Oreochromis niloticus: one gene and its partner. The protein of the gene in region 2 interacts with the protein of the main gene of each other region in a pairwise test. Links are inferred from orthologs where the notes say so. Each region holds a gene or a part of one and is shown on either strand. Other genes may lie near its edges.

The links.
Region 1: the proteins of airim (region 2) and rnf41 interact in binary tests that used the Homo sapiens proteins (3 or more experiments, as listed by UniProt). The two-hybrid records come from large-scale screens. The link is inferred for Oreochromis niloticus from reciprocal best matches to the Homo sapiens genes AIRIM and RNF41.

What each region holds. Positions count from the first base shown.
Region 1 is NC_031984.2:9,466,732-9,474,029, reverse strand, and holds the start of rnf41 (E3 ubiquitin-protein ligase NRDP1), read right to left. Parts: upstream 3,304-7,298; 5' UTR 3,147-3,303; intron 2,351-3,146; 5' UTR 2,268-2,350; intron 1,457-2,267; 5' UTR 1,437-1,456; coding exon 1,347-1,436; intron 1,252-1,346; coding exon 980-1,251; intron 810-979; coding exon 674-809; intron 354-673; coding exon 250-353; intron 169-249; coding exon 1-168. UniProt on the Homo sapiens protein: Acts as E3 ubiquitin-protein ligase and regulates the degradation of target proteins. Polyubiquitinates MYD88. Negatively regulates MYD88-dependent production of pro-inflammatory cytokines.
Region 2 is NC_031985.2:14,097,351-14,104,705, reverse strand, and holds airim (AFG2-interacting ribosome maturation factor), read left to right. Parts: upstream 1-4,075; 5' UTR 4,076-4,255; coding exon 4,256-4,524; intron 4,525-4,786; coding exon 4,787-4,966; intron 4,967-5,041; coding exon 5,042-5,160; intron 5,161-5,670; coding exon 5,671-5,711; 3' UTR 5,712-7,052; downstream 7,053-7,355. Other genes in the region: cdca8 (borealin), read right to left, coding at 327-362, 507-593, 964-1,093, 1,734-1,832, 1,970-2,052, 2,167-2,234, 2,322-2,397, 2,501-2,541 and 2 more. UniProt on the Homo sapiens protein: Part of the 55LCC heterohexameric ATPase complex which is chromatin-associated and promotes replisome proteostasis to maintain replication fork progression and genome stability.

The DNA of each region.
Region 1 (7,298 bases), on a different chromosome or scaffold from region 2:
TGCGGCCAATTACGCTCGTGGGCGTTTTCGATCAGGTCGTTTACAATCGAGAGAGGACAGCCGCTGTCAATGAGGGAGCGCTTGATGACTGCTTGGAGGACAGCATCAGGAGTGGAGATCATGCCACCCCAGCGTGTCACTCTAGCAGGCTGCATGGAGTTTACCCACCTGAAGATTTAAAAAAAGAAAATTAGGAACTGAATTTATTTCAGATCACATATTGGGAGAGGAAAGGAAACCTTCACTTACTCAAGTATCTCATTGTACTCGATGCTCTCCTCAAGGTTTTGCAAGTTCGGGTTTGCACTGCGAATTGCTCTCATGTAGGCTTTTAGCAGCTGAATGTCTCGTTTCTGGAAATGAAAAGCAATAGAGTGAATGAAAACCTCTCAAAACTGCCTCAAGTACAAAATCTGCAACTGCCCATTTAAAAAGCCCAAATAGATGCATGTCCACACCAAAAAAAAAGTGCAATAAGAATGAGGAGACCATTGTTATTGCACGTCCATCAAGCACGTATAACAGGCATGCATCTGTGTCTTATACCACAAAGACATGGCACTCAAATTATTTCTGCCAAATATCATACAGACAGACAACTGTTAATATTTTATCAAGACTAGACCTAATATTTTGTCAAAAATATACTATTGTGTTGGCAAAATACTCTTACTTGTTCCCCCAGCTGGTGTTTATGTTCTGCTACAGTTTTTTCCAGCTCTGAAATTTTAGTTTGCTGCTGCTGGACAACGCTCCGCAAGTGTTTAATACAGTTATGATTGGGCAACTCATCTTTGGGCATTTCAAGCCTGCAAGAGTGAGAAAGACAGAATATTAAGCAAGAAAAGAAAATTTAATACTACAAAATACAAAGGAGGTCACATTCTTATAACAATTTATGGTAATATTATTATGGTTGTCTTAGTGTTTCTATAGATGTCACATAAGGCTTTGGATTTATTCTATGGAATCCACTTACCCACATCCCTCCTCACAGTTGACAGGCCTTTTGGGGTTGTGCTCACAGTCCTTGAGATGTGACTGCAGCTGGTCCAACCGCAGTGTGGCTGTGCAACCAAAGCTCGCATTATCACAGCTGATCTGAAGTTTGGACAACATGTTGCGCATAATGCGGGGCACAGGACGGAGGTGAGCCAGCGTCACTACTGTGCGGTCAACAGGACAAATCTGCTGCTGGGCAAACCACTGCGTTATACAGGCATTGCAGAAGGCATGTTCACAGTGTGGAGCCTGAGGTGGAAAAATCCATATGCATAGAAGACAAATTTAATGTCAGAAAAACAGATAGAATTAAAAGGTGGGGTGTATTTTGATCAGAGACTTGCCTGCACTGGTTCTTCTAACACTCCACTACATATTGGACACAACAGGTCTTCATCCACCTCCCCTTGAAACCTCGTAACGTCGTACCCCATGGTACATTACCCACAACCTCCTGAACAACACACAAAAAGGTTTTTAGCCATATTAACTTCTTAAAGACACAACTGTACACAGATGATACTAATCTGTACAAAGATTTTAAGTATTTTGCATTCTTATGCAACAGAGAGGCACTGACTGATCCTAAATTTATTTGGGTGCATGATAATGACCCCAAAGTGATTAAAAAAAAAAACAACAAACACTTTTAGTGACAAGAAAAACACCAGATGGTACTCAACTAGCCCTGAGGGGTGTACCACAAAGCGAGACTAATAGTTCAGCAGTGTATGTCAAGCTTAAAACTCAAGAGTTTTCAGTGTCAAGTTGGTCACCATGGTAACTCATGTTAAACTCTTAACCTGGTCCAGAGCAGGTCGTGTTCAGAGTTTTGGTTTACAATTGTCAGCAACTGCCACAATTATTAAAATATAATGAGGTTATATTTTTGTATGTTCTTTCTAGATCCCTATCACACGATCTGGCAATTTTATGCTGAAAAGCAGTCATGTGATGCATCAAATTCCCTTTTTATGCAAGTGTGAGAATCAATAAAAATCTTCATTATGTCCAAATAAAGTTTTAGGTTTGGTAAAGCCAGCTAATGCAAAAAAAACCTGGATATGTTGAACCTGCTTCATAATACAACTCTGCTCAACACCATCAGCTCAGTCTGAGTTTACATAAAGAATCAAAAGCAGTTGAGAAAACCCAGATTCAAAGAACAGTGACAAGTTTACCAAGACGTGTTGACAAATTACTTGCCAAGCAATGCCAAATAATCTGCCTAAATCCTTTACATAGTTCAAATACTTTAAGCCTACCTCACGCACAAAAGCCCTCAAATGTTTCCATTCAGGTCCTGATGTTTTGCTGATACGTCACATCTGGTAAAATGGCCTCCCTGCTAAAAGAGTTTAAAAAAAAAAGAAAAAGAAAAATTATAACATTCATAGAGATTGTTAGATTGATTGCACTTGCATGGAACAAAATCCAAGATCGACGCAATTTATCTGGAGATATATTAAAAAAGACGTGAGCTCAGTCGTTTTCAAATTTTCTTGCAATAATCTATATTCTTTACCTAACAGCATCCCACACCTTTTTTATCTTTATGAACATCGTTTTCTGCTTTAATCAAAAAAAATTTAAAGGAACAATGACTCAAGACATTGAGCACACAGCCCTGACTCGATGCCCTTGACCTAACGTTGTGTAAATTTAACCCTACTGTCACCTACAGCACCTAATGAGAACATCCTGTCATTCCAGCTGACTGGCTGATGACCCAATTTGACTGAAAGCGGCACATGTAGGCGATTTACAGACCCCCATTTCTCCAATTGCTCTCAACATGCCCTGCAAACATTAGCATTGCTAACGTTAGCTATGTGAAAGATATTTCGTTGACAACGCTGTACTTTGCCCCTGTTATTTGGGGTTTATAATTAAAGAAACTGGGGTCATCGCACAAAAAGCACAACAATGCTCAGATATAAGCACCCCTCTCTAGTCACGAATTACATGTAGCTATCGCTATTCCACTAACCATCCCTTTTAGCAAATACGGTACCGTTGGTTTTCCCTGGATATTAGCATCAAGCTAACCAGACAGAGCTCAGTCTAGGAGTATTACACAGAGAAATATCCGTTTACAATTACACACTCTAGAAGAAAATACCATAACTAACAGATATACTTACCTAAGCGTGTATTAAACTAGTTCTTTATGACGAATTCTGTGTTTTTTCAGACGTCCCAGTGTAGCTAGGAGCTTGATAGCCACGTCCTGTGCTACATCCTACACTTCAGCGTCATTGAGACGCAAGCGAGCGGCGACGTCATGACGTACTGCTACAACGTTCGTTTGATTGGTCCTTTAACTTTCTCTCTCTATATATATTCATCTTTCTATCTTCATTCATTTACAGACCATATTATAATACACATTTACACAAATCTGACTAGAACTACCAGTTAATTTTTTTCCGTGATGGTTTCATTTTTAAAGACAAATATGGCACAAATACATACAGTAATCTGCAAAAGACTTGATTTACCTCTCATTTCTTTATAATTTCCTTCCAGGAAGCAAAATCTTCCATTTTGATCTTCTTATATTTTTAAAGTTGTCTTCAACAATACGTCTTTAGGTTTTCTGGATGATTTTTCAAAGATTTTTTTGGGACATTGGCTGTTTTATTCATTCATTTTCAGTCCATTCCTATTATCCACCATATTCAGATGAAAACATTTTTCTCTCTTAAACTCTATTAGACAAGCTTTTTAGTACTTGAATGAATCATTCAAGCATTAAAAAGCAACAAAGTCATGGGATGAACTAGTGTTGTGTCTTTGGATAACGCATTAGCAAAGATTTTGCTAATTTATCTGATTTTAAATTGCATCTTTAGGTACTTTGTTATTAGAAGCCTGTTGGAAGACAAAAGAAGTGGAAGGCCTAAAAAAAAACTGTGTCTGAAAGTCAGCAAAGACTTGACACAGGACCTCAGAAATGCATCATTAGAAATGGTCTCAGTGGAAGAGTGGCTGTCAAGAAGCCATTCTTAAAAAATTAAAACAGAAAATGCTGAGGTATGCCATGACTGACAATGAGTCGCAACATGTGATTCAGTTCAGTTAAATTAAATTTTATTTACAGTTCATTAACAGTTGCCTTTAGGTGCTTTATATTGTAAGGTATACACTTGGTAATAATAAAGAAAACCCCAGCAGTCACCCCAACATCCCAATTCCCTGTGACCAAGTAGTTGGTGATAGTGGGAAGGAAAAGCTCCCTTTACCTGGAAAAAAAACCTCTTGCAGGACCAGTCCCAGTGAGGGGGATCCATCTGTAATGACCAGTTTGGTGTGAGGATGATGAATCCAGATTTTACATTTTTGTCTCAATGTTTGGAGGAGGTCAGGAGAGAACTAAACAATGAATGGCTTAATTTATAATCATGACAATGACCACAAAAAGCAAAGTAAGTTAAAGAATACCCGGATTAACAAACAAAAAACCATACACACAAAATGGATCACTATCCATCATGGACTGACCTTCCCAGAGCCTAGACATCAACAGTGTGGGGGTGACTTTGACAGGGAACAGAACACAAATTAGCCAACATCCAAAGAAGAACTTTGAATCTCCTTCAAGATGCCTATATAATTATTCCTGAAGACTACTTACAGACTAAAATGTGTCTAAGAGAGTTCAGGCATCGTTTAGGAATACCAAATATTGATTTTCAATCTTGTTGGAGTTGTGCAATCTGCCAAAATACCAGATTTCAAGATATGTTTGTGCATGTAGCTGAATTGCTGCAACCATTTGCCATTTTCCTAGCAAAGCATAAAGAAACAGAGGGTTGCTCATTACTTTTCCACAGCACAGCCACACAAATATGACACGATTCTTTCTCAGCCATGCAGTGAAAGAACATAATGTTATATTTAGGACAGAAGGTAAACAGGAAGGGGGGAAAAAATAGGTAGAAATATCCAGATAGAAAATGCACTTTATGCAGAGTGGGTGGATCCGGTTTAGCAGAAGGGGGCAGACACTGAAATGAATGACTCCGTCTATAACAGTGTGAGTGCATGCTCCTCCAACACTGACACGGTGTCATTGAACTGCACTGGTACTCTTATAAAACTATGTGGTTTTAAGCAAGATAAAATTGAGTTCAAATTAGTCTCGCTGTTAGAGGAAACTTAGAGCTAGATATGGCAATATTCACATTACTTTTGCATGCAAGTCACTCGTTTTATTACATTAGTTTCTTATGAAACTAGTGGTTCAATCTGGTATAAACTCCAGCAGATCAATATTTTAATGTCGCTTGTTACTGTATTTTGCAGAAAACATAAACACTTTAAAAAGTATATAAATTCCTTATGAGTAACACACAAAGGTCAAAGTCCAATACACTCCCATCATACTACTATAAAATGTGAGCTAACAGTGGTGGTAAATACAGTCAAGTTCTTTGCTTTGTCAGTTCCTCATTTGAGTTGAGAAACCTCAAGCCTCAAGTAGATTCTCACATACACACACACACACACACACACACACACACACACACACACACAAAAAGGTTTAAAATGTCTTCTCAGCTTTTTTTTTTTTCTTAGGTTCCTAGTTTGAAAGACTGGCGAAAACACAACACACGAAAAACATAAATAACTCCAGACTCAAGAAATATTTAGCAATAGCACTTTATTGAACACAAACAACCCTAAGCCACAATACTGAATGACAAGACCAATTGGCTGCAGCAAACATTTTATAAAATAGATTCAGGTTTAATGTCACTAAATTGTTTTTTTTTTCCTTTTAACGTCAGAAAGACAGATGCAGGTTTTTCCAAAACAGTGAATGATCTTTTACATATTTAACATTTCTGTAACAAATTATCATTCACATGTTCACACAAAGGAATAACAAGGCAAAGTGCTTTCAGGATTGCATTGTCGAAAAAAATTAAAATAAAACAAAAACAGAAAAATGAATGGCTTGAGGTTAAAGGTGAGACGGTGGGTGAGAGGGGAGGGGAGGGGTGGGGGAGTTGGGCTGGTCCTGTCTTAGAGTAGGCATGGGTGAGCTGTTGGGTGGTTGTGAGGGTGGTGGGATGGCGGGGCCTGGTCTGAAAAACCTCAAACCTTTCACCCTTGTCCCGTACCCCTTTGTACTCAAAACTGGATGTAAAATGTTGGGGCAGTGCGGAAACAAGACGCCTGTGTAGCAGAATTTGGTACAGAGTGGACAGATGGATTCAAAGGCATACGGCTCGAGGGGCTCAAACTCATCCACATTTACAAATACACCTTACTATCATCCCTGTGACAACCTGTGATATCATTACAACTGTAGGGGGGGAGAAAAAATAAAAAAAAAATAAAAATCAATGGCTGACCCAGAAGGAAGCTGTAAACGTTGAAATATTGTATACCATAGGGCTAGATGGGGGAAGTATATGCATAAGAGGAAACCAAAGAAATAAATGCTGTTAAAATATAAAGCCAATGGTTATTCATTTTCTTAAAAAGATGATTCCTCTGACCATTCGCCACTGAATGTTAAAGGGGATAGACTATCATCATAATCTGCATCATAACGTTGTCTGGCTTCACATTCCAGTGGTATTTTGTCGTATAAATGCTTCTCATAAATATTTTTTTTTCCAACGTCAAATAGACAAGTACACATACAGCACAACCAAGCACACTTTATGTATAACTACCATTGCTTATGATAAATCTGTATTCCCGTACTGTGAATAAACTTTTTTTTTTTTTTTTTTTTAAGTCAGAACAGGTGGAGAGACTAACAATACTCAAGGCTGCAAAACAAGGAGGTAGGAGAAATGCTACTGAAAAAACAGCAAGTGAAGCTAATGTGATCGTTCACTTAAACAATTGTGATACACCAGGCTTCCTGAACCATGCTAGTGCCAACAGCTGCTAGTCCAGTTGGAGTTTGAAGAGCTGTGTTTTAACAAGTGTTTGATTTTAACTTTGAATATTGACTTGGCTATTTAAAAAACAAACAATAAAAGTATCTGCAGCTTTCTGACAGCTCCTGCATTGACTGGGGTAGCAGCTGTGGTGATGTACTAGTTAAAGAAATCTTAAGAGGCTCATTCATCTTTACAAAAAAAAAAAAAAAAAAAAAAAAAAAGAAAAGGAAGAAGAAGAAAAAAAATAATAATGTCTGAATCGTGTCTTAACCCTATATTCCCAGACTGGTCATATTTCAAAATTGACTAATTTCAACTTCATTGGTCCTGTTGTCATCACAGGTCTCGAGACCGCGCTGCTGGTGATGGCATTGACTCCTTTACACACAG
Region 2 (7,355 bases):
AAAAAGCATCTAAAACTACATAAAATTACATTTTAAAGTAAAGGGATAATTTAGGAGAATGTGAATACAATGAAATGAACAATTTAACTAATAGATTAATTCCAGTGAATGTGGAGGGTCTCAAGAAAACAGTGTCCAGCACAACAAATATTAACCTTACACTGTATCCTAAAGTATTTGTTAAAGTATAATCTGTATAAAGGAAAAAGAAAAAGAAAAAAAACATGCCACATTGTAGGAGAAGAATGAAAGCTTTACAATAGAGATAAACTTGTGTTTTAAAAAAAAAAAAAAAGTATAGTACAAGTCTGCAGGAGACTGTTTGGTCACTCTGATGTCCCACACAATGTTGTGAGTCGATTCTGTTGGGAAAAATAAAAATAAATGATGAGAATCAAAGCATATGCAAATATTTCACATCAAAATTTGGCTAAAGCTGCAACAAAACAGTGACGAAAAGCTGATGAAACTGTGCAAGTAACGCTGTCCTGCTGGAGTTAATTTACCTGCAGCTGCCGAATGCTCCTCATGGCGGTTTCGTCCAGCAGTGACAGATCCACTGAGTCCATCTGACTGGCCAGCAGTTGAATGCTCTGGATCAATATGTGAAGGACAGTTGTGTTAGTGAATTAGTTTTTGAGAATTAGCCTTCTAATCCAGAGTTTTGTTAGACAATTAATTACTCAAAAGCCATGAAGTCATCAAATGTAACTAAACAGTCATCAACATAAGTATAAAATCAACATGAAAGCAGAAGACTTGAAAGCCAATTTAATGCATCTTTAAGCTCATTTTCAATAAACCGCATATAACAAAGTATTCAATGTTTTATCTTCCTGAAAATAGACGTCTAAATTTCTTTAGTAAATATTGTTTCCTCTGCTGCCTTGTTAAAATCATTTCTTAAACAACTGACTGATCAATAGTACCTGAAGCTCTGAGCCTGACTAAATGTGCACTCACCTCTCCATTCCCAACGGGAACATTGATGACAATATCCTCATTTCCTGCTGCAATGGGAGAGCCGTTGACTGAAATGCTATAGACCCTCTCCTTGTGGCGGGGAACTCTCACTGCGGGGGTCTTGGGAAGCCTGAGGTGAAGTGAGTAATATGAAGCCTTCTTTGTAGGGAATGTCAACATTGCAGAGTAAATAGCACGGTCTGCCAGATTACAGCAAGTCTCCAGTCCCCGCACACTTTCTAACACTCAAAGACATTAGATCCACTTACAGCTCTATGAGAGCAGAGATTTTGCTTTAACGAGAAGCCTGAGCTTTAATACAATACTTTGAGCACTTGTTTGTCTGTTTGCCCATGTTTTCACAGAATCACTATCTATTCAGCATGAACTGTAAATGAATTTGTGCTAGTAAAAATGTCTCAGTACTATGTCTCAGTAATAAAACACTGAATATAAAGACACAACACTGCAGAAGTCTTCAGTGAGCTGCACTGAATAACCACATTCAGGACAGGTGTAGATGTCAACCTGTGAGGACGACTGGTGCACTGCTAATGTTATCCACACACAGCAAACTAACCTGACCAGTATGTGAGTCTAGTTTCTTATGCACAATATAAATCTGACCCGTCTTCATCTGTGCTCAATTTTGAATCCTTTTTTTAACCATTTTATAAATACGTTTTCTCCCCTCTCAATCAACTAGAACACTAATTGCTATTGCCAGAAACACCATCTTTAGAGTGACACAGTATAATTCTAAGGTGTACCTTGGGTCAAAGCGGGGGGTAATAAGAGGAGTGGGTCCCATCATCAAAGAAGAATCCAGCAAGCTTCTGGCAGGAGTAATCAGGGGGTTCTTGTTCGATCTGAATCCAAACAATGACAATGTGTTAGCATCACATTTATTAGCTACCAAACTTGATTCCAAAAGTTTTTAGAAAGGGAGGAAAGAAGAAGAAAAGAAAGAAAGAAAAAGAACAATACAAAAAGTAAAAGAACTTACCGTCTGATGGTGGAGCTCTGCTTGCTGATCGACAGCGCCTTTGCCCTCTTTGTTTTAGTCGGGGGCTTTCTGGTAGTTCTCCCCTAAATTATAAACAAGCATTTAAAACACCACAAAAGAAGCAAACAGAGTATCCTGCATAACAACAGCTGTATTTAGTTGCTCTCATGTATGACTGTGTGAAAAGCAGTCATTACCTTTTTTGTTGTGCTTGGGACGTTTTCATCCTCAGAGCTCAATGTAGCCCCACCTTTCTTCTTTGATGCTGTGGATTGGACAAAACAAATTGGATTGGCTACAGGGAAATGGTTTCCTTGTTTCATAGGAAATGTATAAACTACTTTTAACTCACTTTTCTCAATTGTTTTTAGAAGAGATGTATGATCCTTAGCCACGACACTTTCCACAAGAGCAGCTTCCTCTTTTCTCTATAAATGCAAATATAACTGAGTGTTTATGCAGAACAGAGCATCGTTACACAAGCATGAAACTTGTATATTAAGTATAATTTGACAAGGCTAATCAACTGACCTTTGCACTATCGAGTTCTGGTGTTTGTGGTTTCTCAGATTCTGCAGAGATTTAAATGTTCTTTATTTAATGCTGTTTAAAAACCAAAACAATATACACTATATACAGAGCAGCAGTGTAGAGAATACTTTTTGGTAATAAGCTATATATAGCCTGTCAGGACTAATGAAATTCATTCAAGATGAAATGCACAGATTTTTGAAAATGTACCATTAGCTTTTTTAAAAATCAGAGCAGAATGCTGTAAAAGTCTCTGTGGCTCAAGAGCACTTCTTCTTCATAGATTTGGGATTTGTTAGTCAATAAACTATGTTTACTTACTCCAATGCTCCAACCAGTTCATTTGTCTGACAGCCTTGGGGAGCTTAATTATTGCCATGTTGTAGCTGTTGTCAACATCTTTCAGCAGCTGGTTTATCTTCTCTTTCAGCTGTCCAACTCTAGTCTTCACTGCAGAAACACAAGTGTTGAGTCCAGCTTAAGTTATACAGTGTCAATTCAGCTTAAGTTATACAGTGTCAGGGTGGGGTGGATGGATGTTAGCATCAGTGGTTATTTGTGACAGTAGATTGGATCAAGAGTGAAGGTAAAGATGCTAAGATTTCCACTGGTAGTGACCAGAAAGGACATATTAGAAATTAGTACATGTGAAGGATGGCTGAGGTTGAGTGGTTTGGAGGCAAAGTTAGAGAGGCAGGGCTGAGATGTCATAAACATGTGCAAAGGAGGGATAGTGGAAATACTGGACAAAGGGTGTTGAATATTGAGCTCCGAAGCTGGAGGAAAAGGAAAAGGTTCATGAATGCAGTGAAGGAGGACGCGCAGAGGGTTGGTAAGACAGAGGAGGATGCTAAGGATATAGTGAGCTGGAAGAAAATGTTGTTTCGGTTGTTCCTAAAGTGAGCAACCGAAAAAAGAACAGGGAGTATTTCTGTAGCATTTCTATGGTGAGTTAAAAATAGTAATAATAATCACCCTCGCTGTCAAAATCCTCCAGAAAAGCTTCCAGTTTTGCCGTCTTGGGGTTATTCTTGCGTTGCTTGGTAGTCCTTTTCCTGGGAGCCATTTCTGACGGACACGGAGTATATTAGTACATTACAATATAGCCTAGTACAGTACAGTATAGTGTGGTATATTAACACGCGATAGACACAATGAAATATTAACATTATGACCCTTAATGGGGAACAAAAGAAAGTAAAAAAAAAAAATCTGCCTACATGCGGCTAACTGTTGGTGAAGCTAACGTTAGCGAGTAGCTTTAGCTGAGTTAACGCTTATTTTCTGACCTTATTTTCGACAGCTGTATTTACACCTACCAATATGTGTTACTGGTAGGTGTAAATACAGAATATGATGTATTTACATGCTTTATTTAAAGTATATATCATTACCTAAATGTGTTTTTCCTGTTCGTTCTCGACACTCGCCTTCCTTCCTTCACAAAGCCCTTTTCAAATCTTCGCGCGGGGAGGGGCCAACACGCCAGATCAGCCAATTAGGACGCGCATATGCCTTGCGTCGCAACAACTTTGTTTTCAACCTATCGTAGCGCCGAACGTCAGTGTTTACATCAAGAGAACGGAAATGGTTCAGGCAACATGGTAGAAATGTGATGTTCTGTAGCTGCGAGAAGAATCATTTAAAAGTCATTTTTTCATAAAGTCGCCTTCATGGAAAATAAGACATAAAGCTGACTTAATGTATTTCGTATTTTTCCCTTTGGACACTTAAGTACTAAAATCGTTTGCTGAAATGTCTACGCTTGCGGTAGCTACGCTTCATCAGGCTCTGAGGAAAAGCTTCGCGACACTTGAAAGCAACCAAAAAGTATGGAAGAGTGTTTTAGCCGAGTGCAGCCCTCTGATGGTGTCTCTCGGGAATTTGGCGGAGCAATCGAGAGCACTGTCCAACGTGCAGATCTCCAACACACCGCTCAGAGTTTTTCCTGACCTGGAGGAGAGACTCCGCTTTAAACTCCTTGAAGCAACGGATATAGTGCTGGGAAAACTCAACGAGAAGATGTGAGTAAATCGGCTTTTATATCTGATAAGGATGCTGCGTTATTGGTATTCACATCAAACTATCCATGTTTGATGGGAAAGGAGTACAGCTACACCCTTTTTAGTAATAAAAGATCAGTTTATATTTTAGTAAGTAAATGGATCTTTGGAGAAGAACCTTATTAGTACCAGTTTGCAGAAGCTGCTCAGAGTATGCTTCAAGTATATATTATACTATAATTTTTATCTCACCCTCCCTTCTTTCCTTTCCTCTTTCTTTCAGGTCTTCCCTCCAGTCTGCGAGGGATGCCATCAGTAACCAGGTTGCTGCAATCCTTCATCTGTACGAGCAGAACACACACAGTTTAGATCTGCTTGCAGTAACTGAGCGATCAACCACCACCCCGTCGGTCGCTGACATGCTCGAGTGGCTTCAGGATGCTGAGCGTCACTATCGGCAACAGTATCCTTTTCTCTCTTCAGTTTTGGATGTTTATGTTATATTCTGGTATTTTTTCCCCTTAACTCTTGTGTTCAGATTCCTGAGGAGGAAAACTCTGCTTCAAACACTGAGAGCAGATGACCTCTCACTTCTGGAATCTGCTCCCCAAAGGTGGAACTCCTTGGAGTCTCCCAGTGCAGAGGACCACATCACAGGTAAAATGTATATGACAAGTACTTCACTATATCATTCAGTTCACATCTGTAATTAATGCTGTATGATGGACTAGTTCTTTCAACATTGAAAGAAGCTGAAGATGTTTATAAATGTACTTAAATCCAGAACAACACAAGTGCTGACAGACTGTCATCTAGCATACATCTAAAGTCATGTAAAGATTTGAAAACAATAGATTAAAAAACAACTGTAAAAACATAATTCAGGGAAATATTATGTCACGGTTTTAAACTTAATCTTTTTTCCTGTTACACTAGAGGGCGTCTTTAAATATTCTTTTTCTATCACTTATAATCAATCATAAAGGGACCTACCTTTATGGCCAGTATTCATAAAACTTTTAAAATTCATCTCAAGTAGCAAAACCTAATTTGATATAATTTCAGTTTTAATAATTGAGTACACATTGGCCAGAGACCAGTGCTCTGATGGATCTAGAAGTGACTGTTATTTATTAAACTAATTATCTTGCTCTCTTTTCTTTTCAGATACACTTTGCAAAGTGTCTTTCTTTGTGGAGTCGCAGTGAAGATGGTTAAGGACTCACCTAATCGTGAATATAACTGCATTTTAATGAAGACGATGAGAACAAAGAGATCCAGAAGAACGACTGAAACTAACTGCACATTGACTTGAACTGATGCACACAAATGTCGCTTGGAGGGACGATGGTGCAGGGAAAGCTCCTGGTTCAAATCTCCTGGTCAACTGTTGGTTTTTGTGTGGAGCTTGCATGTTATTCCTGAGCCTGCAGGGGTTCCATTGGCTTCTTCCCACAGTCCAAAAACACAAACTTGTATGTAAATTGGCTGCCTGGATGTGAAAGTATGAATAGTTCTGCTTCACTCTGTCTCCCATGATGAACTGTTAAGCCCAGATAGGATCAGCAATTAAAAATGGATGAGTGGACTTAAATTGCTCCTAGATCTACTTTGAAGGGAAACCAGGGTGCCCTAAAAACTACAAATAAGTATTTACAAATAATGGGGCCAATGTAAAGTATTGATTTATCTTGAATTCAGTTTGGATGGATTGAAATGTTTTATCCAGTACGTATGAGAATTTTGAGCACACATACATCTATATATTTATTGCACAACAGAACTGCATCTTTAAGGTTTCGTTATTTTTAGAACATGCTTGACTCTTATTGGTACTACAGTTCAGAAGAGTGTATCAGCAGGTGTCCAAATCATAGTTAACCTAGTTCAAATACAGCAGTGTAAGTAGTACTGCTCATTCTTACCTGAACTTCACTTTCACTGTGTCGTTCTCTCACAAGTTTGGTCTTATATTTCGTTTTTAAAGGTCTCATAAACCTAAGATTAGTGTTAGGGTTGGGTTTTACTTTAGTCAGAGGCTAAATAGACCTGAGAGGTCAACGAGGATTGCCGGCTCGACAGATCTAAATCTCCACTTGGAAATAATGGTTATCTCTGGTTTCGGGGTCATGTGACTTTTCTTCAGTACAAAATGATCCCTGTGAGTGCGGCCTACTCCAGAGACTTTAACAGATGAAGATGATGATAAAATAGTGATTAAAATGTATAAGGAAGATAAAAATAAGGTAAAAGCAATAGTTTTAAAAATAAGACCGAAAATTATTGCTGCTGAAAATAGTTAACTGTGAGATTTACATGAATTATTAATTATTATTTGGCTTAGTGCGCCCTTGATGCATCGAGCCATAACTCACAACTCATGCTGTTTATTTCTAAGGTGATGGCTGCACATCAGAGCTCTGAGACTTTAAAATTGATCCATTTAAAAATTAAATGTTATTGTCCCACATCGTAATAAAGGAGACGTGGAAAGCACTATAGTTTTTCAGCAGGTGAAAGTGAAATTAAATGTATTGATTGAAAAGGTATTCTTGGTGTGTGTGCTGTTTTATTAGCTACAAATCTAGCAGTGTAAACGAGACTCAAGAGCAGAATAAAATCAAGTATAACAGAATTTACTGCATCACCAAATTAATACATGTACATTCCCATGAGTATATAGCACTTAATTTAGTGGTTTTAGTAAGGTACTTCTTAACAACTTACACATATAAAAAGTATTCCCCTAGAAACTTAAAACATAGTGTAATTTAAAGATAAGGAAAAACATGATACTTTCTTTTAAACCAGTATAAATACTTCATTACTGTACTTAAGTAGAACTTTGAGGC